4 linked regions of the Alligator mississippiensis genome follow. The protein of the gene in region 1 purifies or fractionates together with the protein of each later gene. This does not show direct contact. Links are inferred from orthologs where the notes say so. Each region holds a gene or a part of one and is shown on either strand. Other genes may lie near its edges. The genes, in order: SLC12A6, LGALS3, RAB6B and STK39.

Region 1 (7,792 bases):
AGTGTGGCGGGATGTCAGTGAGAACGTAAATAGGTAGAAATCAGGAAAATAAAAGGTAAAGCAGGGAAGGGTGGGGGGAGGGGGGCAAAGGTGAGTAAGGGGGTGTAGGTTGTAGCCATGTTGGTCTAAGGACGCAGGCAGACAAGGTTCTTTGGGTAAATCTGATATCTTTTATTAGACCAGCTCAAATAGTTGGAGACATGGGCGACTGGTGCCACCTTTGTGGAGGGGGGGCACGTGCCCCACCCTACGACCAGTCCTACCAACTTGGGGTGGGGGAGGAGTCCCCCCTCCACAAAGGTGATCTCGCTACCGGGGGGGCCCCCGGAGCCGTTCCTGTGATGGCCGATCGCTGTGCTGCAGCCTGCAGCAATTGGCTGGTGCTTTCAGGGGGGTACCTGCTCTCCGGCCTGCCCCCACACCCATCACTGAAGTGGTGAGCACAGCCTGTCAGAGGGTGCACCTGCGCTCTCGGGGGGGCACGTGCACCCCCATGCACCCTCTACCTGTCTGTCACCACTGACTGGAAAAATTCTTCTTTGCAAGCTTTCAGGTTTACCCTTGGCCAGGCTGAGGAAGCATCTGCAGTTGGTGTGTGCTCTTCCTGGATGGAAGCAATAGTAAAGGAGCCAAAGGGGAATAAGGGAGACTGCAGTCATACAAGGCAGAAAAGAGGCTGTCTGTACAAAAGGAAAGAGCTGGAAATTTGGAAGACAAAGGGCAGGACCCGCCTAGCTCCTTAGACCAACACGGCTACAACCAAGACCTCAGGCCCTGGAGAAACCCTCGGCAAGCAGATCAAGTCCCGCGTTTGGAGGACCTGCAGCTTGGTTTGGCGTGTTCATTTCCTGGCCAAGCACAACGTATTTCCAGAGGCTGAGGCAGAAACGGGGCGCTGGGCGGGCTGCCCGGGACCGGCGTCTCCTACAAGTCCCAGAGTGCCCGGGGAGGGGAAGGAGAGGCGGCCGCAGCTCCCGCCCCCCCCGTGCGCCGGGGCGGTCCCCGCTGGCAGTCGCGGGAGCGGGCGCGCTGGGAGCACGTGTGCGGCTGCGATCTGGGGCCGGGTCGGAGCCGGAGCCATGTTCCTGCAGTACTATCTCAACGAGCAGGGGGACCGGGTGTACACCCTCAAGGTGAGCCCCTGCCGCAGCCCCGGGACCTTTCTCGCCTTCCCTTATCTGCCCCAAGATCTCTTCCAGCCTCCCGCGCACGTCCTGTGCAGCCGGGGCCGTGTGTCGCTCTGCCCCTGGGTGCAGGTTTGCATCCCCCTGGTCGGGGGAGGCAGGCAGTGGGACAGCCCAGGGCAGGTGGGGCAGGGGGGTTGTGCCCCAGGGCTGGGGTGGGACCTGGGGGTCAGGATTGAGTAGTCATGGCAGAGTTGTGCCCGTGGAGCTCAGGGCTTGGGGGGGCAGCGAGTTGGGGGTTGAGTGACATGCCCTCGCCACCTGGGTGGAGGCTCAGAGCTGGGAGAGGAGGTGGCAGTGAGTGAAGCACAAAAGTGGAGCCGTGGGGGGTGGGGACGTCAGGGTGGCCAGACTTGGGTATTTGTATTTTAGGACCCAGTTGCCGTGACCTGGTATGATATCATCTCTTTCCATTTCCTTCCCTGTAGAAAGTAAGCCCCTCTGGCCAAGTGACTTCCTCTGCACATCCTGCCCGCTTCTCCCCAGATGACAAATACTCCCGCCACCGGGTCACCATCAAGAAGCGCTTTGGCGTCCTCATGACACAGCAGCCGCGGCCCATTATGTGAGGGCAGGCCTTTTCCCAGCTGGAAGCACAGAAACGTGCCCCTGACTGCCCTGAAATGGGACAGTCCTGCTCAGCTGAAGCTGGCTCAGTGGCTCCCTCTGCACCAACTCATCTTCCACTCCTTTGTTTATCCCTCTCCTTGTGATCTGACTGCTGATCCTAAACACATCCTAAAACCTTTCCCCATTCTCCTCTTGTCTGTGGAAAAACTGCTTTGATTCCCCTTTTGATCAAGCCAGAGTTAATCACTGTAGTTGAAAACATGGTTTGTCTTTTGATTGCCAATAAATTATCTGATGTTTATTTCTACCCTTAGCCCAGACTCTCCTTCCCTGCTGAGCTTTTAACCCTCTAGTAGTGGTGAAGCTGTACTCATTTGTTTCATGCTGTGCAGATGTTCATGTTGTGTTAGGAACTTAAGCATAACAAGGGAAGGTTTCTGACTAAGCTTTCATTGTTTTAGTAGGGAAGCATATTCATCATATTAGAAATGTGAGATGGCCTTTATTAGATGTGGGGGAAAGCTGCATTCAGGGTCTGATATGGGATCAGGTGGTTGGGCCGCATGGCAGGAAAGGTGGGGAAGATTCTACAAAGTGAAAGAGAGGAGACTGCAAGCTTGATGGAAGAGAATAAGCTTGAGTCTCTGCTGCTCAATTTGAGAGGGAAAGATACTGAATGCTAGTATCCCAGCACTGCACCACTCAGCTGCTTAGCTTGGCATTCAGGACTGGCATCAGTAGTGTAACTAAAGCACCCACTTAAGGAGTGCAGAAATAATACTTACCACAGATGCTGGCCCGCCATGCCACCAGCAGCCTAGCCGCTGTCTTTGACTTGTGCGTTGCTGGTGCCCAAGGTGTCACACCCATGATAACTCTGGGGGCTCTTGTTTATCCAGAGAAATATAAGACAACCCAAAGCAAGTTCCTTTGAATGATGCACCAGTTTATTGGGATATTATCAACCTATCAAAATTACTAATAGTGGCTATATGCAGCAGAAAATACATAGATATACTCAGTACTAAGCAGCGAGCTCTGAGGGCCCTCAGAATCCATCCTTATAGTTGAAGCAAGTTCCAGTTTCCCACACAAATGCCTTTGTGTGGAGGAGTTTTATACAGCTCAGATTCAAATTTCTGTATTCCTGCCCATTTCTCTGCGATAACTCTGTCTTGGCCAATCACGTAGGGAGCAAGGAAGCTCTGAGTCCTGACCTGTGACTGCTGTTCTTACCTGGAGTCATCACTTGGTGTTATCACCTGCCTAGATATCTCAAGTGTAAGAGTGATGTAGCTGTGATGGTCCAGAAATTATGCGAAAGGCAAGGATTTCTTAGGGTGAGATCTTTTATTGGACCAATTAAAGATCTCACCTTAAGAAATCCCTGTCTTTTGCATAGCTATCTCAACACACTTAAAACTATCCTGTTTCTCACATACTAATCACTGATTCAGACTGGACTGCTTTTGGGATCAGTCTACCCGGAGAAGGAATGTCATGAGACCCAGCGCTGGGCAGTTTGGGGCCTCGGGGCTCTCCAACAAAAGTGCAGGGCTGCCTTGTTAACACCTCTGTTTGCTGTGACCTATTTGGGACTGCCAGCACTTGAGGCTTCTGTACTCATTGCTATAACACGTAGGTTGGTTTTTATTTCCGCGTTTTCCCTTTAACCTGGGATTAGAAATGGCTGAAAAGGCCATTTTATGCAGCACTGAGAGAGATTAAATCGGAGTTTACTGAATCAATGTCCATTCATTTGTGGCTGATGAAAGAATGTTGTATGGGCAGAGTTTGGAACAGAACCCAGTCAGCTGTCCTGTTGCTGCTTTAACCACTAGATATTACTCCCCTGCTAGAGCCAGCCATAAAATCTAGGTGTGCCCTCCCAGGTCCCTGCCCTGACGTCAGAGGCTCATCCCACAGCATGGGCTGCAGCCTAGGAGTCATGACTTCTGGACCCCAGCAGTAACTACTAACTAGATACTGCTTCCCTACCACAGCTTGGAATGCAATTATAATCCTTCTTCCCACTTCTATCTTTTCCTTTTAGCTGCAAATCAGCTCTACTCATTTCAGAGACAGCAGAGAGTTCAGCATACTTTCACTGAAGTATGTGATGGATAAAGGTCACTGAAAGTTTGGGCTGTGCCTACCACCCAGAGGCCTCTTAAAGAGCCCAGCACTGTCAGATCTGTGCCAAAGAGGGAGTCACTAGTGTCATAATTTATACAGAGAGGCCACAAAGATGGGGATGTTCATTAACCCGAACCACTGAGAAATCCTGGGCCTGCTGCGCAGGCACCAGCACCCAGGACTCAGCCGGGCCCAGGGAGGCGGACAGGCAGGTGCCTGGTTTGCAAGTGCAAATATCAGCTGTCGCCTCAGAAGAGTCCCAGGACTCTTTGTCAGAGCCTTTGGCCTTTGGTCTTTGTCAGAGCAGGTGGACACAGAGCAGGGACAGCCAAGCTCTGCAGGACACAGGACCACTGGTCTGACACGGAGGCCCCAGGGCCTTGGCCAGGTGCCACACACAGCCTTCTGCCCCGGGATCATGAAGGGAAGGGCGCTGAGCTGCGCCCCTATCCCTCATTGCTCCCCACTCCTCTACGTCATCGCTCTTCCTGCTGAGGCTGACCTCAATGGGAGGCTAGAAGACATCATGAGTCCTTCCGGTCACGAACTACAACTCCCAGCGGCCCCCGCGGCCTGCCCCGCCCCGCCCCGCCGAGCCGGTGCCTGCGCGTGCGCATGCGCCGTGGCGGGCGGGAGGGTGAAGTGCGACTCTTCCAGCCCCAGAGCCCTTGCACCTGGCAGCCTCTTCTTCTCCCTCCTCCCCGGGCGCGGCCTCCGGGAGCAGACGCCGGTCCAAGGTAAACGACCGCGGCCCCTAACAGCCTTTCCCGCCTTTTTTGGGGGGCCCTATTCACGGGTACAGGGTTGGTGCGCATGCGCAGCTGAGCGTTCTCACCCCCTCCCGTTCCCCTAATTTAGTGGCAGGCTGCGCATGCGCAACTTGTCGCCCCGTCTCAATGGCAGGTGCCTGTCTCTCCCCATTACAGAGCAGCAGCTGCGGCATCCCTTGCAAGGCCATGTGCTGCCATGGATCCCCTTGCCACCACTGTCTGGCCCCTGCAGCAGGTCCGCATGGCAGGGCAGTGTTGGCCCCAGGCTTAATGCTGCCCCACCCCCCTGCCCTGCCACCTTGACCCTTGCTTGGTTTGGTTTGGCTTGGCTTGGCTTGGCGATCCTTGGGCTGCCCCAGTTTGCTGTAGCAATGGCACTGAGCTTGGAGGGGGCGTGCACATCCCAATACTGTGGGCTAGTGTGGGTGAGGCCTTGTCTGGTGTCTCCTTGGACCGAGCGCTCTTTAATAGCAACCTTCTTGTCCCATGACCCTAGGGAAAATCCAGCTGTGTTAACCTTGGGAGCTGGTGGAACTGGAGCATCGTTGAGTCACGGGGACCTCGTGGGCATTGCGTGGAAGAGTTTTTGCCCGGCGGGAGGATATTCAGCTGCCAGAGCCCTGAGGGATGGTGGCAGTCCTACTCCAGGACTTGGGATATTCAACCTTCCAGCACACTTTTTTGGTGCATCCAAAGTGCAAGGTGTATTAGCACAGAGTGCTCTTTGGGACCTGCTGGCGTACTCGCTGTCCTTGCTCGCCACACCAGAAATCGGTCAGTGATTCTCCTCCTCGTGCTCGGATCACTTGGTTTGCTTGGTCTCTTCGCACATTTTGCACCAGGACTTGGTGAAACCTCTTGTCTTTTTTTGCACTTTCACATGTTTCTAACCAATGGACCCCTCTTCAAACCAAATCCCTTTTTGGATATTTACCCAAAAAATAATTATTTGCATCAGGACGTGAAAGTTTCTTCTTGCCTGTTTTGGCACTGGAAGTCTGCAGAGTAGTAATAGTAACGGATTATCTGTGCAAACAGTTTCAAATCAGGAACTCTGACAAACAGCTCACTGAGTGAATCAGATAGCTGTTGATTGATTTACTGGGTAAACCATGGGTCAAGCCCTGCACTCCCTTCTTAGCCACACCCATGGAAAATTCACTTGATAATCAAGAGGTGTCTGGACACCACATAGTAGCAGATCACAGGAGATCCATGGTAGACATGCATTTGCTGTATGGTGGAACTTCTTGTTATGCAGTTCATTTTGCTACCTTCTTAAATTATCACTTCTTTTTTATTTATTAAGATTTCTGGATGATCATAATTTTAACATTTCCAGGAATGTATTAGATTGTTCCACCACCCTCCCAACAACAGCAACACAGTAGCTACACAATGGCTTCTGTCCGGTTCATGGTGACCCCTACGAAAATCGATGACATCCCAGGCCTCTCTGATACCAGCCCTGACCTCAGCTCCCGCTCTAGCTCCCGGGTTCGCTTCAGCTCCCGGGAGAGTGTTCCTGAGACAACCCGGAGTGAGGGCATGAGTGACTTCTCTGTAGCGACTACATCACTGGCTACGGTAGCAGCTGATCCAGCTAGTGATAAGATATCCAACCCTCGTGATGTGACAGAAGGTAAGAAGGATGTAGATGTTGATGTATGCGAATGAGGGGACTGAAAGTTATGGATGGTATTAATGCTTCTGGGTTGGCTTGGGCTTCTGTTGGACGTTAGAGGGAGACTGCTTCTGTATTAATTAGCAGTAAAGGAGGATGTTCTGTGGGGATGTAGAATCTGTCCACCTCAGTTTGTGCATACATTGGAAGTGGAGGCATGTGTTTTATGATAGCAGTGGAGATTGATCAACAGCTCCACCTTTAGTACATCCATTTGCTAGTTATTTTGTGGGCCCTTTGGAAATAGCAGACCTCTTCCAGCTACACTAGGGCCACTTCTTGGTATGTTGGAAATGCAGTGAGCTCTTTCAGAGCTTTGGGGTTGTATCCATTTGAACTGATGGCTGCTTTAGAGTTGATCACATTTAGGGTGGATGGTATGTTGCTATGACTGTTCTCCATAGGTAGTGGCATCTCACCAGATCTTCTGGCCACATGGAAACTCCTGGAATATCATGGAAGAGCAAAATACTTGCATTAAAGGCCAGGCTGGCACTGTGTTTGTGTTTCCTGGGAATGGGTGCCCACTTAGAGCTTTTCAGTTTTATTAGTGAGGTGACGCCCTGCTTGAAGATAGAAATAGCCATGTGAAGTCTGCATTTTCAGTGCATTTGTGGTGTTGACTCTGAACAGCTAAACTTGGTTCTGCTTTTCTTCAGACTCTTTTCCTATATTGGGAAATGCTGTATAAAGCCCGGGGGAAATGACTTAGGGGAATCTCGTTTCCTGTAACTGTGTTGACTTCCTTTTTATTGAAAATCTAGCCATAACTGGCTGCTAAGAGTCATGGCTTCTATTGGGATTTTTAGATAAAAGTTATGAGTTGGGGTTTTTTTTAGCTATTAATCCTGAGTCTCTTAATTAGGCACTGTGGCTGCCATAATGATACTGCAGGTAGATGAGTGCCTCTTTTTGGTGTTAAAGAATATGTACAATGAAATGCATCTGTCTTCTTAGGTGGGCCAGCAGCGTAACAGCAGCATTATATGCGGGTAGTTCCAAAATGTGGAAATCAGGAATGAGGCAGGGCAACTGGTCTACCAGTCACATTACCTTGGGTACATCTACCAGGGATATGGATCATCACACTGACATGGTTATGCTGTGTCTAGCACCCAAGCTGACCTGCTACTGCCCTGTCCGGTGCAAACCTGAAAGAAAGCAAAGGAGAACTCTGTGTTGCATTGAAACTGTAAAGTGGGATTTAGGGGAAGCAGAGGTGGGTCTTTAGACCTGGGGCACTCTGGCCGAAGTGTCAGGAGGTCTTCTACAGTGGTCACAAGCATTTGGGTCCTCATTTACACATTTTTCCTTGTGCCACAGAGGGAACACTAGGGTCATCTCTGACTGAGACAATGGTAACACTGAGCTGTCTTTTGCTGTTTCTTATTCTCCTTGAGCAAGCCAGTTCTGCTGTTGGGCTGCAGTCAGTTCTCCCAGAGTAGAAG
Region 2 (7,209 bases), on another chromosome or scaffold:
ATCCTGTGATTCATATTAGCCAAGGCAGGGCAAAGTATGCTACACAAATTAATAACAACATGTGCAAAAAAGCTTATTGGACCCAGCCCTCTAATACATAAAGAACATCCATTTACTGCAGCTGTTTAGTGCTGCTTAGTTTAGATATCTGGAAAATGAACCAAAAGCTGAGATTCTGATTTTCACCAAAAACTTTCTTCAGCTTATTTTAGATTCACATTGACCCTCTTCTGCATCCGCCCCCAAACCTGAACAGTTTGGTTAAAAACCTAAAGTTGTCAGAACCATGCAGTTTGATTTTCAAATAAATCCTAAATAGCTTTAAGATTTCTCCATTTATATGTTGGGGGGGGGGGGGGGGTTGTCAAAAGTATGGACAGAAACAGCCAAAAAAATATGGACTGAAACATTCGGACCAGCTGCCATTAATACACAGCAGAGAGGAGGAATACACAGCATCAGTACCTAGTGCATACTATGACTTTTAAACAAACCTGTGAACACCTGGACCAGGGGTAATCTCTGCTCAGAAAGGTCCTGATTTAGGAAATCTCTTGAACAATTACTAAAGCACTGTCCTGGATCAGAGCCGACCAGTAGTAGCTGACAGCATTTCACTCCTCCTACTCGGCTGGAACGGCATCGTAGTTTTGCAGCATCTCCTTCCCTACTGTTGCAGTTATTTGGCTGCTCTTGGTTCTGCTGCACTTCCCAAGATGGTGTTGCTATGTGTGTGTGTTTCTTGTGCTATTCTCCATGCATTTCCTCTTGACACCCTCCCCCCTGCTTAAGTACTATGGGGCAGCTGTCCTCCTTTTTCTAGGACTTTTTGCTGCAAGTGCAAATAAACAGTGTGGATGGGTGTGCCAGGTTGTAAAAAAAAAAGTCATTGTGTAGCCACAACACCCACTTATAACAGGATCAGCCGAGAATGCATCACAGCTATTGCAAAACCATGGTTGTGCATAGAGAGAGCGCAAATGTGCTAAGGAAAATTCCTGCTCATGAGTAGGTAGCAAAGCTCCCTGGCTGCAGTATACACAAACCCAGGGAGATGGTCAGCAAGAAGCATCCACTCCAGCATCCCTGTGTGTCAATATTCCTGAAGTGAGCCGCGACGTTTCAGTTTGATCTGCACTGCAGTGAGAAATTGGGTAAGAAGTGCAAAGAGGCTAGCAGCAGAACTGCCACCCAGGCACATACTAAAGAGGCTGCCTTCCTTTTCCAGCTTAATCTTCTTGGTACGTGGAGTTGGTACATGGCCTTATGAAGTTCTACCCACCAGACTTGGGGGTGTAGCACTGAAATTCCTCAGTTCGGACCCAACAGGTTTGAGTGTGTCGGTCTGGCAACAGATAGTTATCCTTTTCCCCCAGAGATATATCTCTAAGTCTTTAATGGTATCTTTCCACTTATAAATTTAAAACATAAAAATCCAGTACTAGAGTCTGGTTTTTTTTCTGTTGTCTATTGCCTTGTGTGATCAACTCGACTGCCTTGAAATCCAATGAACAAGTAGCAGAGAGAGACAAGTCTGTTGTGGCCTGCAATAAAACACCCCTCTGGCACGCAATGATTCCTTATCTTCGCTTCAGTCGCGTTCTTTGGAAACTTGCTAGCTCTTTTCTAAATCTAGTTGTTTGTCTGTTCTTTTTTCTATGTAGCTGGTTCCTCCTAATTATGCATGGAACAATCACACATGCATGCCTGCCTTTGGGCTATTCCAGACCAGGTTACCTACATCTAGTGGTTGCACAACCTGTTCCCAGTTTTAGGTAAACTTTGCATACTAAACAGGCACAGAAGGAAAGTCCTAGGGATGTATATTCTACTTGGAGCTCATTTTTCAGGTGATTAACATGCAGTAAAGGCCCCAACCCATCTCTTCCACCTCCTTGCTCCCTTTCCTTTAAGCGCACTTGTCCCGCACAGAGCTGAGCTCTATGATATTCAAAGGTTATGGACCCCCTGTCCGAATTCCCCTTTGCATTAAATCCCTAGTGTCTGGAGTCATGCTGGTTCCACTGCCACGGCTCCCCTCCTGCTTACCCAGAAGGCAAGGTGCAGTGTCTGCTATGTCAAACCTTTGCACCTGAGCCAATGGATAATGCTGACATCTCTCTACCTGAGTGCTCAGTTAACTTTTCTGCCATAGTATTTGAAATCCTTAGTGTAGCTGGAAAAGAGCTATTGATACACAGACCTAGGGAGTTTCTGAGACGGCTGCAGGGCACACTGTTTCTTTTGTTACTCTGCATCATTGCTTGGGTAGATGCAGTTTATCTTGCACAGCATGAGACATGACCTGAAAAAGAAGAAGCACTGGGTTCTGGTGACCAGTGAAAGGGGCCTAGGTGCTGGCTGTACATCTTTTTCACTTTTCACATGAGAAAAGCAGGCCTAGTGATCAATACATTTTTTTTCTGGGAGTCCCTATGGAGGACTAGAAAAATAGGAGGTTTTCTAGTCCTCCATAGGGACTCCCAAAAAAATCTGTACATGTAAAGCCATACATATACAGTAGAACATGTCACTGCGTCTGAAGGCAATGGTGAGCGCTAAGTAGGCTGGTCACAGGCTGAACGTAGCTTTTCTTAGTCTACTCTGACCATGAAGTTGTGGGTAATAGTGAGGCCTCTAAGCAGTAGACAGCCTAGACTGTATGTAGAGATGCCAATGGGGACTTTGGAAGCAAAAGCTGATTAATCTAGAGGAAAAATTGGTTTCTGTTCCATTTTGCATACCGATTCCTATACAAGAAATGCTGAAGGAAACTTGCTTTACTAAATTGTGTACATCCCCAACCGTACTCCCTATGCTGAGGGATACCACCAGAGTCACCTCAGCTCTGCCTGACCCAGCTGTCCCTTCCTCTGGGGCCCTGATGTCAGCGGTATCAGCCCTAAGCCACATCAGCCCCACGTCTTCAAGCAGCTGAGGTTGGAGGGAGGCAGTTTCTCTGCATGAAGGTACCTGCATGTTCTGGGCTTCCCATGGGGATCCTGCTCCGTCTCCCACCCCCGGCCTCTTGCACCCGTTCTGGGTCCCACAGCAAGTAAGGCAGCTGCACCGGTCCTGCAGGGCGGAGGGAACTCTGCCCAGGGCTTTGTGGCCTGGCAGAGGGAAAGGCTCCCACAGCTGCAGGGATAAGAACATAAGCTCTTATGGGCTAGACAGTTGGTCCATCCAGCCCAGTATTTCGTTGCTGACTTGCTATTGTTACTATTTTCCCTACTTGCTATTACCCTGAGACTGGCACTCCCAACCCTCCTTTCTCTTTTCTTGTCCCAAGAAGTTTGTTGTTGTGCCTTCCCAACTGAGGGAGGCTTGCAGTTTTCTCGGTGGGCCTCGGCCCACTGCTCCTTACTTATCCAATAGGCCTGTCTCTGAGTGGCGGGGGTGGATATTTTAGAGGGGGGAGCGCTGAACCGGGTGGATCTAGGGCAGTGGGTCTCCTCCTTTTTTAGACTCATTGCAGCCCTCATCAGACTTGAGGCACGGCTCCATAACTGTAGTGAACTGAGCAGCACCCTGTTTCAAAAACTAGTGTATTTATTACTGTGTCTTGCCTCCTTGCAGCCAGGCAAGGGAGACCCTGACCCTGCCCATCTCCTTACACTTCCCTGGACACCCTTCGAAGGATCTCGCCCTGCCGCCCTGGTGGACAGTCACAGAAGTCAGGCTGGAAGGGACCTTCAGAGATCAGCTAGGAGACGAGATGGGGCAGATCCAGGATTTCCCAAAAGGGGGTGTGGGAGCAGCAACCCGCACCCCTTGCTCCTAGCCTCCTCTGCCCCACTGGTAGGGCAGACCGTGCTGGGGGAGCCCCCAGCCTCGTCACGGCCAAGCCCCCGGGGAAGGGGCAGAGCCCCGGCCCCTGCGCGGGGTCTCTGCCCCGCTCCCTCCCTCTGCAGAGGGGAGCCCCGCACCAACCTCCCCATCCCGGGCGGAGCCTCCTCCTCCCCGGGGAGGTGGAGCTAGGGCCGCCCTGCCCCTGCCCCGCCCCGCCCCGCCCCGCCCTGCCCGGCTCGGGGAGGCTGCTGGAGCCGCTGCCCGCGCACTGGCGCAGCCGCAGCCGGAGCCGCTGCAGCCCCGCACGCAGGTGAGCGCGGGCTGCGCACCGCGGGGCAGGGGCAGGGGCAGGGGCAGGGCCGGCTCCGCTACCCCCGCACGGGGCTTGGCAGGGCCCCGCACGCGGCTGCGGGACGGGCAGCCAGGTGTGGAGCCTCGGGGCCCTCCAGCGTCCCCGGTCTTCCCTCCCAGCAGCAGCGCTGCCCGCTCTCCTGCTGCTGGGCTTGTTCCTAAAGTCTGCGCTCCCGGAGTGCGAAAAACTTAGCTCTTTCTCCTATCTGTCGCTCTATAAATAGATCCCTATCTCTCTATATACATAGGCATAAAAGGAAGAGCTCCGTTTTTCGCACCCTGGAAGCGTAGACTTTAGAACAACACCCAACATCGCTGGAGTTGGCAAGGCTGCATCAAGCCAGGGTCCCGCCGCCCCCAGGGAGAGACTCCGGGCCGCACCTGGCGAGGAGCATGCCGGGCTTCTGCGGGGAAGGGGGTGGAAAGGTTGAGTTACGACTGACGCTGGGACCGAGTCCTGGCACACATTTCCATTCAGGGGATGAGCTTGGAGAACTGAATTTCCTGGCTTAGGGGTGCATACCTGATCCCGAATGGTGTCGGTTCAGGGTTGCATACGTAATGCTCTCTTTACTGTTTTTTAACAAGGGAGGAAGCGACAGACTTGGCACAATGAGGTTGGGCAACTGGATCTGGCACGAATTGTGCTTAAAACTTAAGCTCAGTTCCTCCGGTCACACCTATAGAGCCAGGGTGTTTTTTCAGACCTGCAGATCAAACCCCTGATACTGTGGTGTTGGCAAGGCTGCTTTGCTGAACATGGCCGTAAACTTTTTAAAAACTTTGCCAGTGCCCTAGAAAGATAGTGGGCTAAGTCTGTCCTTTTTGTGAAAAAAAAAAACTGGTAGCTAATATAACATGAACACCCTGCCCCACCCCCAAGCCCAGGAAGAGTATCTTTTATTTCCCCTCCAAAAGCTGGTGGAGACTCACCTCAAACTTTCTAAGATAAAAATGTCTGAGACTGAGCATCGAAAGGTTCAGCCCAAAAGAAAATATTCTGGGGAAGCCTCAATGAAATTGTCTGGCAAATCCCTCCTATCCTCAGTCTTTACCCTCCCTCCCCTGCCTACCTGCACGCACGCGCACATGTATGCACGCAAATCCCTTTTGTCCTCAGTCTTTACCCTCCCTCCCGAGCCTACTTGCACACACACACACATGTCTGCACACAAATCCCTTGTCCTCAGGCTTTACCCTCCCTCCCCTGCCTACCTGCACGCACATGTATGCATGCAAATCCCTTGGCCTACACATGCACACGCACATGCACAGAGCTGGAGCAGCGGACTATCCTAGCTGGTGGGTTGGCGTGCTGTTTCTAGCAGTTCTTATACCGAGTAGGTAACAGGCTGACTGGCCGTTTCTCACTTTTACATGTCCTTAGAAGGGAGAATGTGACCAGGGCAGGAAGGGGTAAAAGTGGAGATGTCTCTGACAGTGGACCCTTATGAATGGTTCTGGTGCTTGTGAGACAGTGTTTTAAACCCTTGTCTTCTGGTGTTGTTGAAACCAAAGGGTTAATGAGACCGTTTGCTGCTGTTCTGCAAACCAGCTGAAGTGAGTTCTGCTCCCTCTCAGGAGCGGGCATGAAGGAAACAATCCTCGCTGGGAGAACACTCTGCCAATGAGTAGAAAGAGTTCTTTTATGCTTTGATTTTTTGCGATGGCATCTGGTAAGATCCCGCATGACAACTGACGTGTATTCTTATAGACTGCCGTGTCAGCTCACAAGATTTCCTCTTGGCAAAAAAGCCTGTACCAAGGGCAATATGAGTAAGACATGAAATATTTGGTATTTCAAGATAAAGGCAGGCATCTGCCAGGGTTGAATTTTATCTCTGTACCCATTCACCATGTATGCATAAGGTACCATTAAAGAAGGCTTCGAAGATAACAAGCAGGTCATTTGAGTTAATGGAGTTTATATAACACCGTAGGATGGGCCACAGAGCTTCAACTAGAGCAGAACTGAATATGCTGAGTGCCTTGAACAAAAGCATCAAGAATTGTGGAATGATGATTAATGCTAAGAAAAGCAAGACAAGGAAGTTAAGGAAAATGCAGCAAAGTATAAGATTCTGTCTAGACAGCAAGGGATGACACGTTTCTGTACTTGGGTCACTGCAGGCATACTGATAAGTTTCTGTACTTAGGCGGTTTGCCTATATCAGATGGGAAATGCGGTAGAAAAATGAAAACAGTAATTGTTGCAGAAAGTTCATTCTGTATCTTCATTGTCTTCTGCGTTACGGAAAGGTAATTTTACACATCTACCTGACACGCTAGATGTGGCCAGCCCCCCCGTGGTTGACTCTGGAAGCTGGACACTGGAAAAAATACAACCAAACACTAGGAGGTTAATCAGACCTGTGAATTCTGGGGCTGGAAAAGAATTTTGGAAATCAGCCGGATCTCCATACCCACAAGTGACGACCTGTGCAGAAAGATGAACTTGGAAAGAGCACGGCTGCTTGAAATACATGATTCAAGGAAAAGCTCTTTCTGTGGACACCTACCCCGGTCATCACTAAATGGCTCAATTCCTGCATTTTATACTATGAGACAAGATGGAAGGAAAACTAGGAAAGAGGAGGAAAATAAGCGTAGCTACATCAGAAGGATGGAGTAGTATCCACGAGAGACCATGTTTTACAGCTCTGCCATCCGACCCTCAAAGATGGAGGGTGGTGATAGATAACCTCCAAATTGGAGGTGACTCTTGAAGAAGACAACAGCTCACTATTGCCCCTCCAGAGCTATTGTTAAAATAACAAAACACAGTATTCCTGTGGTTATGAGAAGATTGGAGATGTTGCTTGGACCACATAATATTAACCCAAGGGCTGCTTAATGCTAACACCTTTTAACATCGGCCACAGCACTAGGAAATCTCTTGTCCGGAGGGCTGTTGCCAACTCCCCCAACTCTTCAGATCACAAGATATTTGTGGTCTATCCTAAGGCCCTGTGAACCCTATGATTATGAGTCTATACTGAAATCCAGAGGTATGACTGCAGCTCATGTAGATATACTTGATCTAGTTTTAAAACTAGCTTGCTTGGT
Region 3 (7,153 bases), about 6.0 Mb from region 1:
TGAAGTGTGGGAGAAAGAAGTGAAGGACTTTCTCGGGCAGAGAGGGAAAAAAACTGAAGATGCCCTTTTCCAGCTGGTGCTGTTTGTGCTTTGCCTTCATTTGTATGTGAGATGATAGTTGCCATCTTGCCCAGCATACTAGGGACCTTCAGAGGTAAAGCATGAGCTATTATAGCTTGAACTAAAGAGCCAAGCCCCTCTACCTGCAGAGTCTCTGTAGATTAAGCACAAAGAGCCATTACTTACCAGTGGGTTACGCTTGCATCCAGAAATCAGTCCATTAAAAGTATATACAATGCAGTCACTCTGTTCATTCAGAGACCCCGCAACAAGGAAAATGGTGGTATGGCTTTACTGGAGCAATGTAGTCTTTAATTTTTACTCCCTTAAAAATGTTTCTTATTTAGTGTGTGTGGCTTTTATTACTTTTTTTTTTTTTTTAACCAGTTGGTCCATAGATCTTGTTAGTCACTGAATGGATTGCTGTTGTATTATTTTGACGGTCTCCAGCTGCTGTTTCTTTAACGATCTCTTATTGACAAGTTTTACTGTTTCTGGTAATGTTGCCTTTTTGGTCTTGCATCCAGCTGTGTCAACAGCAAAGGACCTTAGAGGGTGATGGCTTTTGGCATGCAAATAAGGTGCATGCCTTTTTAACGAGTGCTTTCAACAATGTTTTCAGCCTCCATGCAACATTGGTCTTGACGTGAACATGGAGATGCAAATGTGATTCCTCTCTGGAGCCAGCATGGAGCATTTGGACTGAAGTTGTGTGTCTTAAGAACACCTTGTTGCATCCATTGCATCACGTAGGCTGGATGCAGCAAAACCAGCCTGTGGGTTAAAAGAGCACAGTAGACAAGTGGAGTTTCACAATCAGCCACATAGACATCTTTTGATGGATAAAAATGGTCTGGCTTTCTTTCCCAGCAGAGTTATGCTCATATCCCCTGAGGGCACTAAACAGGCCCCCGTGCTATAGTTTTCAGAGATCTTTGATATTCTTGTTTCCTCACAGGGCACATACAACCTCAGGACTTAATGTGTTGGCTTAAGCAGTCGGTTCCAGGAAGTGCCCTTGCAGTGTGCTGAAGGTAAAGATTTGCACCTTAGAGACTAACTAGAACAGATGCACACATAAATAGCATAAGCTTTTGTGAGGCCAAACTCGCTTCATCAGATGCTGTGAAAGGACAGGCACAGAAAATTTGCAGTATGTTGTCCTGTGCTCCCAAACTCCAGTGGGCCTGGTGCACAATTTGGAGCCCTTGCCCTACTGGTATGGCAGTGAGCATGTGCCCCAACCAAAATCAAGACCATATTGTTGTGTTCCATGCATATGCCCAGCTGAGATGGTCCTTATGCTGAAGAGATAAAAAATATAAGTGGGAAGGACTGAGTTGCATCTTAGATGAGAGAGTCCAAGGTCACGTCAACCCTGACCTTGGACCAGTGCTCTAGAGACCTGGCTTCTGTACCTATCCTTTCTCCTTGGTAGACAGGGTGAACAAAGAGGCACAGCAAAATCAAGCCAACTGTAGTGAGAATTGGGTGGAATAAGCACAGGCATACAGTGAAGGAGAAGAACTAAACCATACACTTGAATTGTGGAGCAGTAGGCAACCTCTGGCTTTGTCTCTTTCGAACTAACTGCTAGCTGCTCCCTCACTGAGGGACCATTTCCCAATCCCTAACTACCTCAGCCTCCTTTTAAGAAGCATCTCTAAACTATGACTTCTCTTACTACACCAATGAGCCTGGCCTTGGTTTAACTAGTCTGAAAATAAAGCCTTGTTCCACTGATAAAGGCACTTGGTGAAGAGAGATATAGGGCAGCTGTCACCCCTGTCTGCTGATATCACACCAGTAGGTAGCCCTTCCTTCTGACCACCACACTGCTCTTGCTTTGCTAGGTGGCACTGGGGTGTCCTGCCCTAATACGACCACGTGTCATGGTGGGAAAGAAGGGCTACTTTGAGCAGCAGTCACTGGTGGAGTCCCAACCCATGCCAGTTTTTCCCCTTCTAAATCAACTTAATGTCATCCCACCCCTGATAAGTAAGGGAAGCAATACTGAAGTAAGGAAAACTGTAAGTGCATCCATGGTGAATAAACAAGATGGTTGAAATTAATCTGTGATCTAGCAGCATTGATCTCTGGAGATTTATATATTGGCTCGTCCTGTTTGCTTTTGATTTCATTTAACCTATAACATCTTTAAAAAAAACCCAAAAAGCATGTCCATTTCAAGAACATTGTTAGTCTGTGGTTCCCTATAACTAACACTGTGCTTGGGAATGAATTTGGCACTTGAATGAAAAATCAGGCTGAAGAAATGTAGGTGCAGGATAACAATAAGCAGAAATACGTCTGGGTGGGAAGAAGTATACAGGAATAGTTTCCACTTCAGTTGGGATATTTGTAATGTTCTTTCATTAGGAGCAAAACCGGGCAAAAGGAGGACAAGGGAGGAACAGAAAGGAGCCTACAGAATTTGAAATAAAGTATAGAAATGAAAGGAAAGAAAAGATTTGACTTCAGAAGAGTGGGGAGAATAATCCCAAATCTTAATATTCCATTGGAGGAATCCAGCTAGCAAGTAGAACTGGTTAAAGGATCTCACTGTGAGAGAGGGCAGAAAATTCAATATGAACAATAGCATGATGATAGAGGCAGGGCACATTTGTCCTGTAAACCCGAGGTGCCATATCATGGAAAAAAGGAGATTGGCCTTCTGAGACCAGGACTGGGATTCTGGGGCTGTGGCAGCCAATTTGTGAGGAAAGATTAATGCATTAAATAAAAGGGCCTATTTAAATGATGACTGAGGGAGCTTTGATAGATGTCTGCAAGTACTTGAGAGGTGTAAGCAGTAAGGTACTGGAGAAACTTCAATGCTCCTACCAGATTTAATTAAGAATAATAGCATGAAGCTGAACAAAAGGAAATATAGTCTGAATATCAAGAGAAAAATTCCTAACTGAGAGGTCTATTAAACTGTGTTAGAGCTTCCCAGGGGATATGGTGGAAGTCTCGTTGCTGGAGTCATTTGAGATTACACTGAACAAAGCACTTGACAATACTCTGTTGGAGAGAATCCTATGGCTTCTGGGAAAGAGCTGAGGTGGGGAGATAGACTATTTTCTTTCTCCTTTCTTGCAGTCACTCATTATAGGCATGAAGTGGGAACAGAAGATGAAGCTAGGAATGAACCATCTTTGCTTGTGCTCTTCCATGTCCGTCTCATCGCAGCTTGCGGGTCTGGCAGGCAGGCGTGGGTCTTGACAAGAGCAACGCCATTTTTTTTTTTTTTTTTAATCCCACTCTGAATCCATCTTGGTCCCATGTCCTTGTGCAAGGACATCAAGAGGAATGGGGCAAACTCCAGCTGAAACATCTATCCATCTTGGTCCCAGGTCTTTGTTCGAGGCCATCAAGTGTAGTGGGCCAACCTCCAGCGGGAACATCTGTCCTTCTTGGTCTGAGGCCATCAAGAGAAGTGAGCCAACCTCCAGCAGGAATTTCTGTCCATCTTTATCCTAGGTCTTTGTCTGAGGCCGTCAAAAGGAGCGGGCCAACCTCCAGCAGGAACGTCCGTCCATCTTTGTCCGAAGCGGTCAAAAGGAGCAGGCCAAACTGGAGCGGGAAGGTCTGTCCATCGTGGCCCCAGGACTTCGGCCCATTGCTCTTGGCGGCCCGGCCCTCGGGCAGCCCCGGCGGGAAGGCGCGTCCCTCTGGGTGGCGAACCGCGTGGCAGGCGGCTGGTCCCGGGGGGGGCGGAGCGGAGCGGAGCCGGGGGGCGCTGGGCAGGTCCCGTTCCCCCCCCGAGGGCGGTGCACGGCGCAGGCGCGGGTGCGGGCGGAGCCGCCGCATCCCCGCCCGGGACGGCCCCGGCCGAGCCGCAGCCGCTGCTGCATCCCGTCCCCGTTCCCGCCCCGGCTGCACCATGTCTGCGGGCGGCGACTTCGGCAACCCGCTGCGGAAATTCAAGCTGGTGTTTCTGGGCGAGCAGAGCGGTGAGTGCTGCGGCGGGGCGGGGGCTGCGGCACCCCGGGGAGCCGGGAGCACCCCGCGGGATGCGGACCCGGCGCGACACGAGCCGCGCCAGCCTCGCTGCTGGGGCCGCCCGAGCACCCCGTGGGTGTCCCGAGGGGGCCGGCCGCGCAGATGCGCCCCGCCGCCTGCCCCCCGAGCCGGAGCCGGAGCCGGAGCCGCACGCGATGCAGTGTCCCGCGCAGCCCGCCCGGGACCCCCAGGACCGAGCCGCGCCTGCTTGCCTCCCCGCCGCGGGCGGCTCCCCGAAAGGCGCCTGGTTGCAGACTATAAGGGGCGACAACACGGAAAGTCGCGGGGCTCAGTGATTATTTTATAAGGTCCCGGGTGGCCCGGCGTACAGCCGCCCGGAGCGGGGAGCTGCTGGCGGCCGAGAGCCCGGTCGGTCGCAAGCCTGCAGCTCTCTGTTGCGGGTTGCTGGGGCTTTCAAAGCAAAGCGGTGCTGCGCCTGTCTCGCAGCCTCTCTGACCAGGGAGGGAAGGCGGGCGGCACGGAGGTCCCCCCTGGCATCTGCTGCAAGGTGCTCTTTGGTCCAGATCTGGCAGCTGGCACCATCTCCATTTGCCTTCTCTTCAAGGCAGGGCTTGGCTTTTCCAGGCGTGGGTGCTGGAACAAAAGATCGCTGGACCGTCCACCCTGCCCGTTCTGCAGTGCCCTCCTCTCTTCCCTGCTTTGCTGCTTTTTTTTGTGTCAGCTCTTCCTTACCAAGGGCAGCCTCGTGCAGAGGATGCCCTTTCTTCAGCTTCAGCTACCTTCTTTAATGGAAGCTGCATACAGGATTCCCAGGTAGACAGGCGTTCATGGGAAGGACATACAGAAATACCCACAGGAGAATCCACCCATTAGCTTTCTGGTTGTGGTAAAGGCAAGGGCAGGGAAGCAGACCAACTTCTCAGCAGCTGCGTATCATGCACTTCTCCATAGAAGACGAGATACAGCCCCGTAGCTTTGCAGGCAAATTCCCCAGCCTGCCATAGCTAGGAGTGCTGTGACAGGCTACACAGAGCTAAGCAGTTTTAATTATTTTTGGAGGTGCTGGATGAATATGCTGTCACATAGAGCAGGGACCAAATGATCTTGGCTCCACATGCACAGACACAGAGCTGCATTTTAAAACCACTGTCAAATCTCTTATTTGCCTTTATCAAAACAAGAACCCCCCAGCTGCTGGTCAGTGCTCACAACCTTTGATTATTCTCTCCTCCCTGCCCTGGGCTTCCATGTTTTGCTTGCCCAATAGTGGCTGGCCGGATAATTGAGAAGAAAAGACAGCTTGACACTTCTGCTGTTTTCCTGACAACTTTTATGCTGCTGTTAAAATGGTCCTTCCCTGGCTTGCTCCAACTCAGTTGCCTTGCTCAGGGGCATGTTCCCAGCCTAGGGGCAGGGGCCGGGGCCGGGCAATTGAGATTGACGTGTTGTCTGAGCTCTCTAGCTCTGAAAACCCAGAGGGCAGGATTTTTCCAAATGCTCAGCACTGGTTTAATTCTGCTCTTATTGAAGCCACTGGTCATTTATTCATTGACTTGACTGGGTGCCGAGTTATGTCGATGCTGTGGACGGTCAAAAATTCCACTGTAGTCTCTGAAATTGTAGGTTTTTCCACTAATCAATCCATGGTGCTGACAATACAGCCTGTCTCCTCTAATTAGCAACGCTGTTCTGAGTGGGCTAGCCCTTGGCCACTGAGTAGAGAAAGTAGCCAGCCACATATTCTTCCCCAAGAGAAAGCCTTGTCTAGACCTCCTTGCTCATTCTCCCCCTTCCATGTGAAATAACTCCCCTCAGTATGTAGGCTCCAGTATTTCTCCCTCTGATGGCAGATACCACATCCTAAACTAGCCAATTTGGCTGCTTTCTGGCTAGCAAATAACCCTCTGATAACCCACAGTTGGTTGCTGTCAAAAGCCCAGCAATAATTGAAACCGGACCACTTTTCAATAACGTTTCCCACCCTCCATGTCCCCAGAGTGGAATTTCCAAGAAACGGGGTGGGGGGCAAGCTCATTAAGCTGCGTTCAGTCAGTGCGGAGCCATTTCCAGACAAAGGCAGCCTGTGATCAGAAGCTGAAGAACGTTACCTTGAAAGGTGTTGCTTGTCTGTAAGAGGGGGAAAAGGTTCACTGAAGAAACCTTCACAGCTGGTATGTTGAGGCTGATAATCTGCATATCACAACGGTCCTTTTTATACTGCTAGCATTTTGTCTGTCTGGTTGCCATCACCATGGTATCTGATCACCTTGCCTTTCACCTCCCCAGCATTATTGATTTCCCCAGCTTTACATCATTAGAGGGGGGGAAAAAGTCGTGGGAGTGCTCTTACCATATATTGATTTACAACTGGTAATATTAACCAGCTTGAAACAAAATACCGATGTGCAGAGAAGCACATGATTATCTTCTTCAATACAGTGTTTGTTTTCTTTTATAGAAAAGATGAATACAAGTGAGGAGGGCGGAGGCTGCTTGGTAAATTAACGTTTGCAAACTTCACTTTGATTCCATAATTGCCTTTTTTTCTTAAGAGGTTCCTCAAAATCATGGCAGTGTTTCTGCTGTTCAGATCTGCAGATTTCCTAACTGTAAGAGTTTATTAGAGGAACCTAACAATTTGCATTATTTGGCCTACTCTTTTATTCAGAGTTTAGGCTACTCATTGTCTCTCCCAGGCATCCTTTTATCAAGAGCGTGTTCAGCAGAAAGGTTCCTGAAGAGAAAGGATACGTTCTGTTGCTGCAGGCACTTCCCCGAGATGCGTGTGCACACCTTTGTGTACAGATCACTATTATTTTTCTCTCAAGATAAATCCCCTCTCTGCAAATAAACCAGCTCACTTGGATGTGAGACAGAGAAAGCCTTGAGAATCTGAAGCAGTTGCATCAGCTTCTCCTCATTTTATGCTAGTTCCTTGTCATTCACCTTTCCACTGTATAGGAGCTGCTTGATGAGGATGATTGTAGATCTCTTAGCTGCTTTCTCAGCATACCTGACAGAGGCAGGAAGGGTTAAAAATCTCCCTGTCAGTTCTTGCATAAAACTGAATCCGGCACATCCCACCAGAGCCAGAATGGGGAGATTTCCCCCCCAGGCAGTGAAGACA
Region 4 (7,867 bases), on another chromosome or scaffold:
TTTTAAAGGGACACACCCTGAACTGCTTGCATTATGTTATAGCCTAGGGGCTCATATTTTGATTTCTGTTTATAAGCTGGTGGACTGGGCTGAGGCTATTGGGGAAGGAGGAGGCCTCATTGGGGGCCCACTACAGTGTGGGGACCCCAGTGCCAGGGTGTGAGGTGACAAGGGGGAGAGCAGACCCTAGTGCCAAGGGGCATAGTTATAGAGGCTGGACTAAGCTGAGGCCTCAACTCAAGCAGACAACGTCGGTATAACGTCTGCGAGGTTTGGGGCGTGGTAAAGAAGTGATTTTGGAGCCACGCATCTAGCCCATAAGGCTTGTGGGTATTGTAGGACACCTCCTGAGTGTGGGACCCCATAAAGGGGTCCAGCAACCTACAGGGTTTCAGGGAGACTGTTAGTACTGTGACCAAGCAGCAACTTGAGGGCAGCCTCCCAATCCATCATTTATGACAGCAAGATGTGGCAGGTGAGATTAGTAGGGCGGAGCTTGCACGGTCACGGTGCCCTAGGGACATCACAGCCATCTCTGGGGTGGCCATATCCTGACACTGCCCAGCCAACCAGCAGTGCCAATGCTACTGGATGGCCCATCAAAGACTGATCTTTCATGTGCTGCGCTCTAATAGTCTGAGCAGCGTCTCACAGCAAGGGGCAGGAAGGAGGCAGACTATGGGAGCTTGGAATGGGGGGGATGCAGGTGGTTGGGGAGGCAGGAAGGCTGCAGGGGGGAAAAAGTGGGTGGGGCAGAAGTTAAGCAGCCCCCTTGTCTCCCCCCTTCCTCTTCATCCCAGCCATTGCTTTCCCTGCTGCAGGAATGGGGACAAATTTAAGATGACCCTCTGATAATTAGATTCTATTATATTGATTTCCACAGCTCATCCGTGAACTCTTGTTTTCAGAGGTTTGTGCCCCATACCCAACATGATCTACAGTACATGACTACTTCATTCATTTGCTACTGAAGTGCAATCTTCAGACTCTCCATCAGCTTGAGGAAGAATTAAGTTCTTCATCAGCCAGCTTGACGCCAAGCTTATGTGCCACTGAAGATGACTATCAAAGGAACTGAGCTAAATGCTGTCATGCAGTTTACCTACCTGGGGAGTGTCATCTCATGTGATGCCATGATCGACAAGGAGGTATACAACAGACTCTCAAGAGCCAGTAGTGCCTTTGGCAGACTCTTCAAGCATATCTGGAACAGTTACAGCCTACAGGCACAGACCAAAGTTCAGGCATACAGAGCTGTTGTTATCTCCATCCTCCTGTATGAATGGTGCTGAGTCATGGGTCTTATATCACCACCATGTACACCTCCATGAGCACTTCCATCAGTGCTGTCTCTGCACCATTCTCAAGATCTGCTGCTATTATGTCACCAATGTCGAGGTGCTACAAAGAGCCCAAACCACCAGCAGCAAGGCAATTCTCCTGCAGACTCAGCTGCAGTGGGCAGGCCATGAGGCCCAGATGGATGACATCTACCAAAGGCCATGCTGTATGGGGAACTGACAACTGGGGAAACATGACAGAAGGACCCCACACAAGTGCTTCTAGGACACCTGAAGAGATCCTCTTTTTGCCTGTGCTACTGACCACAAACTGTGGGAAACAGAAACTGCAGATCCAAATCAAAAAGGCAACAGCCCTCCTTTTGAATGTCAGTGCAGAGCCAGCATTGAGAAGAGGAGGAAAGATCTAGTAGCAATCAGCCATACACGTGTAACTGTTGCAGCAGGATTTGCCTCTCTCCAACTGGACTGATTATTCACCAGTGGGCCTACAACCAGAGTGGGCATTTATCTTCCTAATATCTTCATCTTTGAAGAACTGCCACAACACCTGGAAAATTATAACATTTATAAATTTTTCATATATGGAGTCTACTGGGGGGGGGGGGTCATCTTGCATTCAGAGTCATCTTAGCTTTGAGTAAATATGGTAGTTCTTGTCTTCCCTCACTGGAGAATACCCTGATGTATTTATAAACAGCAGTTCTCAATCAGAGTGCTGTTAAAACCCTTTAAGGGTGCTGCTCAGTATTAGTGCTACAAGGTGTATAAACACCTACACATGGAATCCATAGTGTTAAAAGTATTTTAACCTGCTGTGGTATTTATGAGTTCTTTGCTGTAGTAAAAAAACCAAAACAAAACAAACCCAAACAAGTGAAAGCTAAGAGCTGAGGGGTGCCTAAAAAGGTTGAACCACTGTTACAGACCCATTATATCCCTACTCAGCCCTGGTGGTGGTCTAAACAAGCCAAGTTCTTCTGGTTGCCTACTTTAAGGCAGAGCCTTCATTCCCTTATCATCCTTCTAGAAGTCTGTCTTTGCACCTGTGCCAGTTGGAGTTCATTCATCCTCAACATCTGGACCATTAAGCACAATTCTGGTTGTCCATACTGTTTCAACAGTGTGCACATTTAATACTCTTCTATCCCTACTGGAAATAACTCAGCTGATTAAAAGTTAGGATCATATTTGACTTTTAACAGCTGTATCAAACTGGGGGCTCACAGTTATCCTGTAATTGATTAGTAACACTCACCTCCTTCCCTGTTCTAGTCCTATTTAATTAGTTTATAGCAGAAGTCTTCATTTTTGTGCATAACCTTACATTCTGCATTATTGACTCTGACTTTCATCCCCTATCTGGTACTTTAGTCCTGAAGATTATAAGCATGCTCCTATTTCTTGTGCTAGTCATTAATAAAGCACTAAACAAAACTGATCATGAAGGAACTCCACTACTAACATGCCTTCAGCTGATACTTCATCTTTCAACACTATCCATTGTAGTCATTCCTTAAGGCAGCTCCTTAACCACCTTACAATTCCCCTACTCATCTTCATCTTCCCTTTCTTAAGTTCCCAGAGGCCAATGTATAAAATACGTTACTGAAATCCAAAGAGGAGAGATCGACTACATTTTCCTTGTCTAGAAACCATTACTATATGACAAAAAAATTAGTCCAATCCAGTTGTCTAACCCAATATACCTTTGGTTAAACCCATCCAATTTCCCCTTTGTATCCATGCCACTTATCATTGTTCTTTATTTCAAGGTCTTTACTTGAGGTCAGACTTACATATCTCTATTCTTAAAGAAATATTATATTTGCTTTCTCCAATTGAAAGTTACCCCAACTGCCTTTACAGTTGCTTGTTATCAGACTTGCAAATTCGTGTGCCTGTTCCTTCGGGTATCTAGGAGGTAGACTATCCCACCCCCCGCCAATTCATTAACATCTATACCTCTTCTTCTCACCCAGTAGTAGCAATTTCTATTTTCATAGCCTCATTCTCATTCTCCATCTTGCCTTTCCCCCTATGGCCAACAACATCACTGTTACTGAAACCTAAGGCCAAACATTTGTTAGTTTTTGGACATACCAAATTATCCATAATCTCTACTCTATCTTCATTGTATACTGGCCCTGCTTCTTTCTGTTCTGTTATTATATGAGTAAAGTACCTTTACCTATTTTTTGTGTCTAAATCAGTGTATGGACAGGTAAGTTACACTTTTTAAAAGGTCTGGGAGTTGTAGTAAGAAAGGATTGTGTGGTACGGCTGAATGCAGTATTGCTGCTGTATCCATCTCCTCCCAATAGCAATCAGTGAAGTTAAACTGGCAAAAGTTAGGTTTCATTCAGGGGTAAATTACTCTGGTACAGCCTCTTATTTGGCAGCTTAGGAGCAGACAGGTGAGAGTTATACTGGATGAGCTGACATCTGCTTCTGAGAAATAGATTCTGCTCTCTCCCCTTTAAAATCTTGTCATCAACCATCTGTCTGTGGCCTCATCCTTTTTGTCAGCTCTTACCTTTTCTTTAAAACACATTTATTGATTTATTTTTAATAAACAGGTCCTTTTTCTCCATTTCTAGTGGACCCCCTGCTTATTCCTTAAGGGGTTATTCATCCCCTTAGATGTGGAGCCCCTTCCTACAGTTCTTGTTTTACTCCTCTACTTGGCAAGATAGTTTCTTGATCCTTTCCCAACCTTGCCGTGACACGACAGGCCTCCTCCACATCGAAGGGCACCCTGCTCCTCAGTCCTGGCCGGCTCCCCCTTCGTGTATGAACTTGGCCATGGTGGAACCAAAACCTCAGCTACACGCTTAACTTTTGCTTCTCTTCCGTGTATTTAAACTCCCCCAATCCTAAGCAAAACACAGTAGAAGAGACTTTACGTTATTTAAACATCTCTTCAGGGGGAAAACACCCCGCTAATCAGGCAAGTCAGGCCTAGGCGTGCACCCCACCTCCTGCGGGTCCGCTGGTGTCCCGGGGCCGGGCAGGGAGCGCGGCTGCTTGTGGAGGCAGAGCCACCCCCGGCCGCAGCGACACACGCGGGCGAGCGTCCAGCCGGGGTGCGGGGGTACGAGCAGGCCGCAGGAGCCGGGAGCAGCTCCGAGAGCCCAGGGCACGGAGGGCAGCAGCAGCAGCAGCAGCATGGGCCCCGCCCCGGCGCGATGCACTGGCTGGCGGGGCTCGTGCTCAGTGCCGGCTGCTGCGGCTGCTCCCTCCTCTGCCCCCGGCTGCCCTGCCTCCTTCCTCCGCCGCGCGGCGGCTGCTGGCAGGGGGCGGGGCGGGGAGCGGTGCCGTGCCGTGCCGCTGGAAGGGAAGTTTGAAGGAGGTCGCGGGTGCCCGTGCACTCCGGTAGCATCATGGCGGAGCTGAGCGACTCGCCCGTGCACGTCCAGCCGACCCAGCCCGCGCCTGTTCCGGCCCCGGCCCCGACCTCGGCGCCGGCCCCCGCCGCTGCCGCCGCCGCTCCGGCCGCCCAGGCCCCCGCCTGGCCCATCTGCCGGGACGCCTACGAGCTGCAGGAGGTGATCGGTCAGTGCCGGGGCCGGGGCGGGGATGCTGCGGGCGGGATGCGCCGCCGGGGCCTACCGGCGTTTTCTCTCCGCTCCTTGCGGCGGCTGCGCCCGGCCCTGCCGCTGCGGCGGCGGCAAAGTTTATCGGGGGCTGGTGCCGCCGGGCGCGGGGGGCGGCGGCTCAGTGTAGCCCCGGCCCCGGCATTATTAACTTATGCCCTTCCCTGCTGCCCGGCCCGGCCCGGCCCGGCCCGGCCCGGCCCCGCTGCCTGGCGCCCGGCACGCGGCCGCTCTCGGAGCCGCGCCGATTACTCTGCATTTTCCGCGGCGGGGGCTGGGAGGCGGGTGAGGCTCCGCGCCGCCGGCGCCGCTGCCGCTGTGGTGGCGATTTCCTTCTCCTCGGCGAAAGCCGCCTTCCTCCTGTCACCCGCCCGGCTCCCCACACGCGGTGCGGGCGGCGCCCTGCCCCCTCGCCTCGGAGCTGCCTGGCCGGCCAGGCGGGAAGAGCCGGGCGCGGTGCAGCGCTCGGGCTCCTCGGGTCTGGGATGGGGGGCCCCGGCCCCGGCCCTCCCCACCCGCAGGGAACCTCTTGCTTTTCTGTGCACAGCCCACACCAAGGCTGCAGGAGTCCGAGGCCGGACCCAGGACGGCACGCGCTGTTCCTGAGTTAGGCCACGATCCGCTCGGCTCCCAAATTTCTGGAGCCTTGTGCTGCCCTGGGTTATCTTTAATATTGGAAACCGATGGCTGCTCGTCAAACGCATGACAGCCATAACTATGCGCTATCGATTTGCGTTGTAAATAGTGAGCGCTGGGTCCTGAAGCTGTTTATTTCCCATCGTTTGAAACCAAGTCTTGAGAAGAATAAAATTTTTTCCTTTGCAAGTTTTGCCAGTGCTTGGTTTAAAACGCCCACTCCCTTTCCTGCTTTATTCTAGTGACTGGACAAGTCTGAGGCTTGGTCTAGCCGTAAAAGTTCTGCCAGTGCAGGTGTGTTACTAGGAGAAGGGAGGCCCCTCGCTAGGAGAGCTCTCCACCACATCTCTGCTGGGGTTTCTGCAGTTATGCTGGCAAAACAACTCATTTTGCCTGGATATAGTTTACTTCGCTTTGCGAATGGGTCTTATCTAGCCTAGAGTAAGAACTTTTTATTTTGCTGGTATAGGCTGCATTTCCAATGCCAGGATTTGCTGGTATAGCTAAAGGAGCAAAGCCTATGGCACAGAAAAAGCCTTAAAGCAGTGCTTCTCAACCTTTTCTGTACTGGGACCCATTTCTAAACATCGATGACCCAGTGCCCTGCACTCCTGACCTGCTGCCTCCCACCCCTGGGCCCCAGTGCACCCCCCCCAGTGTTTGGCCATGGGGGGCCCCAAGTAGCCCCTAGCAGGCTGGAACTCTGCCATCCTGCAAGGGAAAGCCACTGTTTCTCATGGTTTTCTCTTTGAAAGGAAAATCCATTTTTAAAGTTTGTTCATCACCCTTTCATATATTCTTGTGACCCATGGGTCGAGAAATGCTGCTGTAGAGAATGTTAAAATAATTCTTATCTGTGTTACCACTGGAATCTGCAGCATGCTTTTTAAAGAATGGTTATCATCCTTTTCTGCACTTTTATAGAGCTTTCAGAAGTTTAAAATTCTAGATTTTTTTAAAAACATTCACAATTGCAAGGATGCACTTTCTTTTTTTCTGTAGAGATGATACTGCTTATAGACAGACCTCCCTGCTAACTGACTGGGTGGTATTGAGCTACAATATGATTAGTAAATACGTTATCAGGGTGGCTTCCCAGCAAGGAACTCAAGTTTGGACTCTATTGGACCTCATCCAGTCAGGTCCTGAGCACCTCCTACCCTGTGCTGAGTATCAACAAGTTCATAGGAGCGTTTTACCAAGTTTCGGTTAGTTACAATGACTTCTCTACTCTAAATGCAATGAGTAATACTTCATACTAGACAAATATAAAAATACCATGCTGAGCAAAATAGGTCTTTCAACTGAAGTTTCGTATATTGCTAATTTCTTTCTTTTTCTTCTCCTTTTTTTTTTGCCATAAGTGACAAGGGACTGCTATGACCGAAGCTACTTGTTTAAACAATAAAAATGACTTCTGACACTTCCATTGTCTGTACGTGGATTCCATGCCAATCTTTAAATATTAATATATAATTTTATAATAATATAACATTAATAACTAGAGGTATATCAGTATATTGGTCCATATCGGCACCAATAAAAGGAAAATTTACATTATTGGCATTCGTCTTTTTTGGTTGATAATATCACAGATAAATGCCGTGTACATGAGTGCAGCCGCAGCATGTATGCGGCCAGGAGTGTAGGCCGGCAGCTTGGAGAGTAGCAACCGGCTGGTAAGTCTGTTGGGGGGGAAGGGGAGGGGCAGAAGGGGCATAGAGGCAGATCAAGACCCCTGTGGTGAGGAAGGGAGTAGGACTGGGGCAGGAGCAGGCGTTGCCCAGCTGGGGTAGGTCAGGGTGTGGGACAGAGCTGGTGGTTCATGTGGGGGGGGCGGTTCCTGCTGCTGCGCCCACCCCCAGGGGAGGCATGGAAGGCATATGTTCCCTTGGATCTGTGCGTGGGGTGAGGGTGGGCTGCCATGGTATGCTTGGAGCTGGGGCTGCTCCAGCCTCTTCCTGGTGGGTGCACTCGGGGCGGGTGGGCGGTGGCAGTGCTAGGAGGGAGGGCTACAGCAAGTTTTGGGGTGGCTCTAGCCGCCCGGTAACCCCCTCTCCCAGTACTGCTGCTGCTTGCCCTGCCCAGCCTGAGTGCAGCCACTGGGAAAAAGCTGGAGCAGCTCCGGCCCCAAGCATGCAGCGGCATCCCGCCCTTGGCCCGTGCACAGATCTGGGGGCCCACATGCTCCCTGTGTCCCTCTCCTGGGGGTGTGCGCAGTGGTGGGAGCTGCCCGCTCCCCCCCACCCCTCCATACCTCCTGGGTGAGTGCTGGCTCCATCCTGCACTCTGACCCACCTCAGCGGGGCAGCACCTGCCCCAGCCCCACTTCTA

What was found.
Region 2: the proteins of SLC12A6 (region 1) and LGALS3 purify together in Homo sapiens (affinity purification with mass spectrometry; 3 studies listed by BioGRID and IntAct, counting the BioPlex papers as one, with this or other methods). This does not show direct contact. The link is inferred for Alligator mississippiensis from reciprocal best matches to the Homo sapiens genes SLC12A6 and LGALS3.
Region 3: the proteins of SLC12A6 (region 1) and RAB6B purify together in Homo sapiens (affinity purification with mass spectrometry; 4 studies listed by BioGRID and IntAct, with this or other methods). This does not show direct contact. The link is inferred for Alligator mississippiensis from reciprocal best matches to the Homo sapiens genes SLC12A6 and RAB6B.
Region 4: the proteins of SLC12A6 (region 1) and STK39 purify together in Homo sapiens (affinity purification with mass spectrometry; 3 studies listed by BioGRID and IntAct, with this or other methods). This does not show direct contact. The link is inferred for Alligator mississippiensis from reciprocal best matches to the Homo sapiens genes SLC12A6 and STK39.

What each region holds. Positions count from the first base shown.
Region 1 is NC_081830.1:36,384,451-36,392,242, forward strand, and holds the start of SLC12A6 (solute carrier family 12 member 6), read left to right. Parts: upstream 1-4,490; 5' UTR 4,491-4,627; intron 4,628-5,156; 5' UTR 5,157-6,058; coding exon 6,059-6,302; intron 6,303-7,792. Other genes in the region: NOP10 (H/ACA ribonucleoprotein complex subunit 3), read left to right, coding at 1,080-1,133, 1,613-1,753.
Region 2 is NC_081825.1:293,160,637-293,167,845, forward strand, and holds the start of LGALS3 (galectin-3), read left to right. Parts: upstream 1-4,017; 5' UTR 4,018-4,102; intron 4,103-7,209. UniProt on the Homo sapiens protein: Galactose-specific lectin which binds IgE. May mediate with the alpha-3, beta-1 integrin the stimulation by CSPG4 of endothelial cells migration.
Region 3 is NC_081830.1:30,392,512-30,399,664, reverse strand, and holds the start of RAB6B (ras-related protein Rab-6B), read left to right. Parts: upstream 1-3,860; 5' UTR 3,861-3,946; coding exon 3,947-4,016; intron 4,017-7,153. UniProt on the Homo sapiens protein: The small GTPases Rab are key regulators of intracellular membrane trafficking, from the formation of transport vesicles to their fusion with membranes. Rabs cycle between active GTP-bound and inactive GDP-bound states.
Region 4 is NC_081827.1:214,962,035-214,969,901, forward strand, and holds the start of STK39 (STE20/SPS1-related proline-alanine-rich protein kinase), read left to right. Parts: upstream 1-4,603; 5' UTR 4,604-4,684; coding exon 4,685-4,856; intron 4,857-7,867. UniProt on the Homo sapiens protein: Effector serine/threonine-protein kinase component of the WNK-SPAK/OSR1 kinase cascade, which is involved in various processes, such as ion transport, response to hypertonic stress and blood pressure.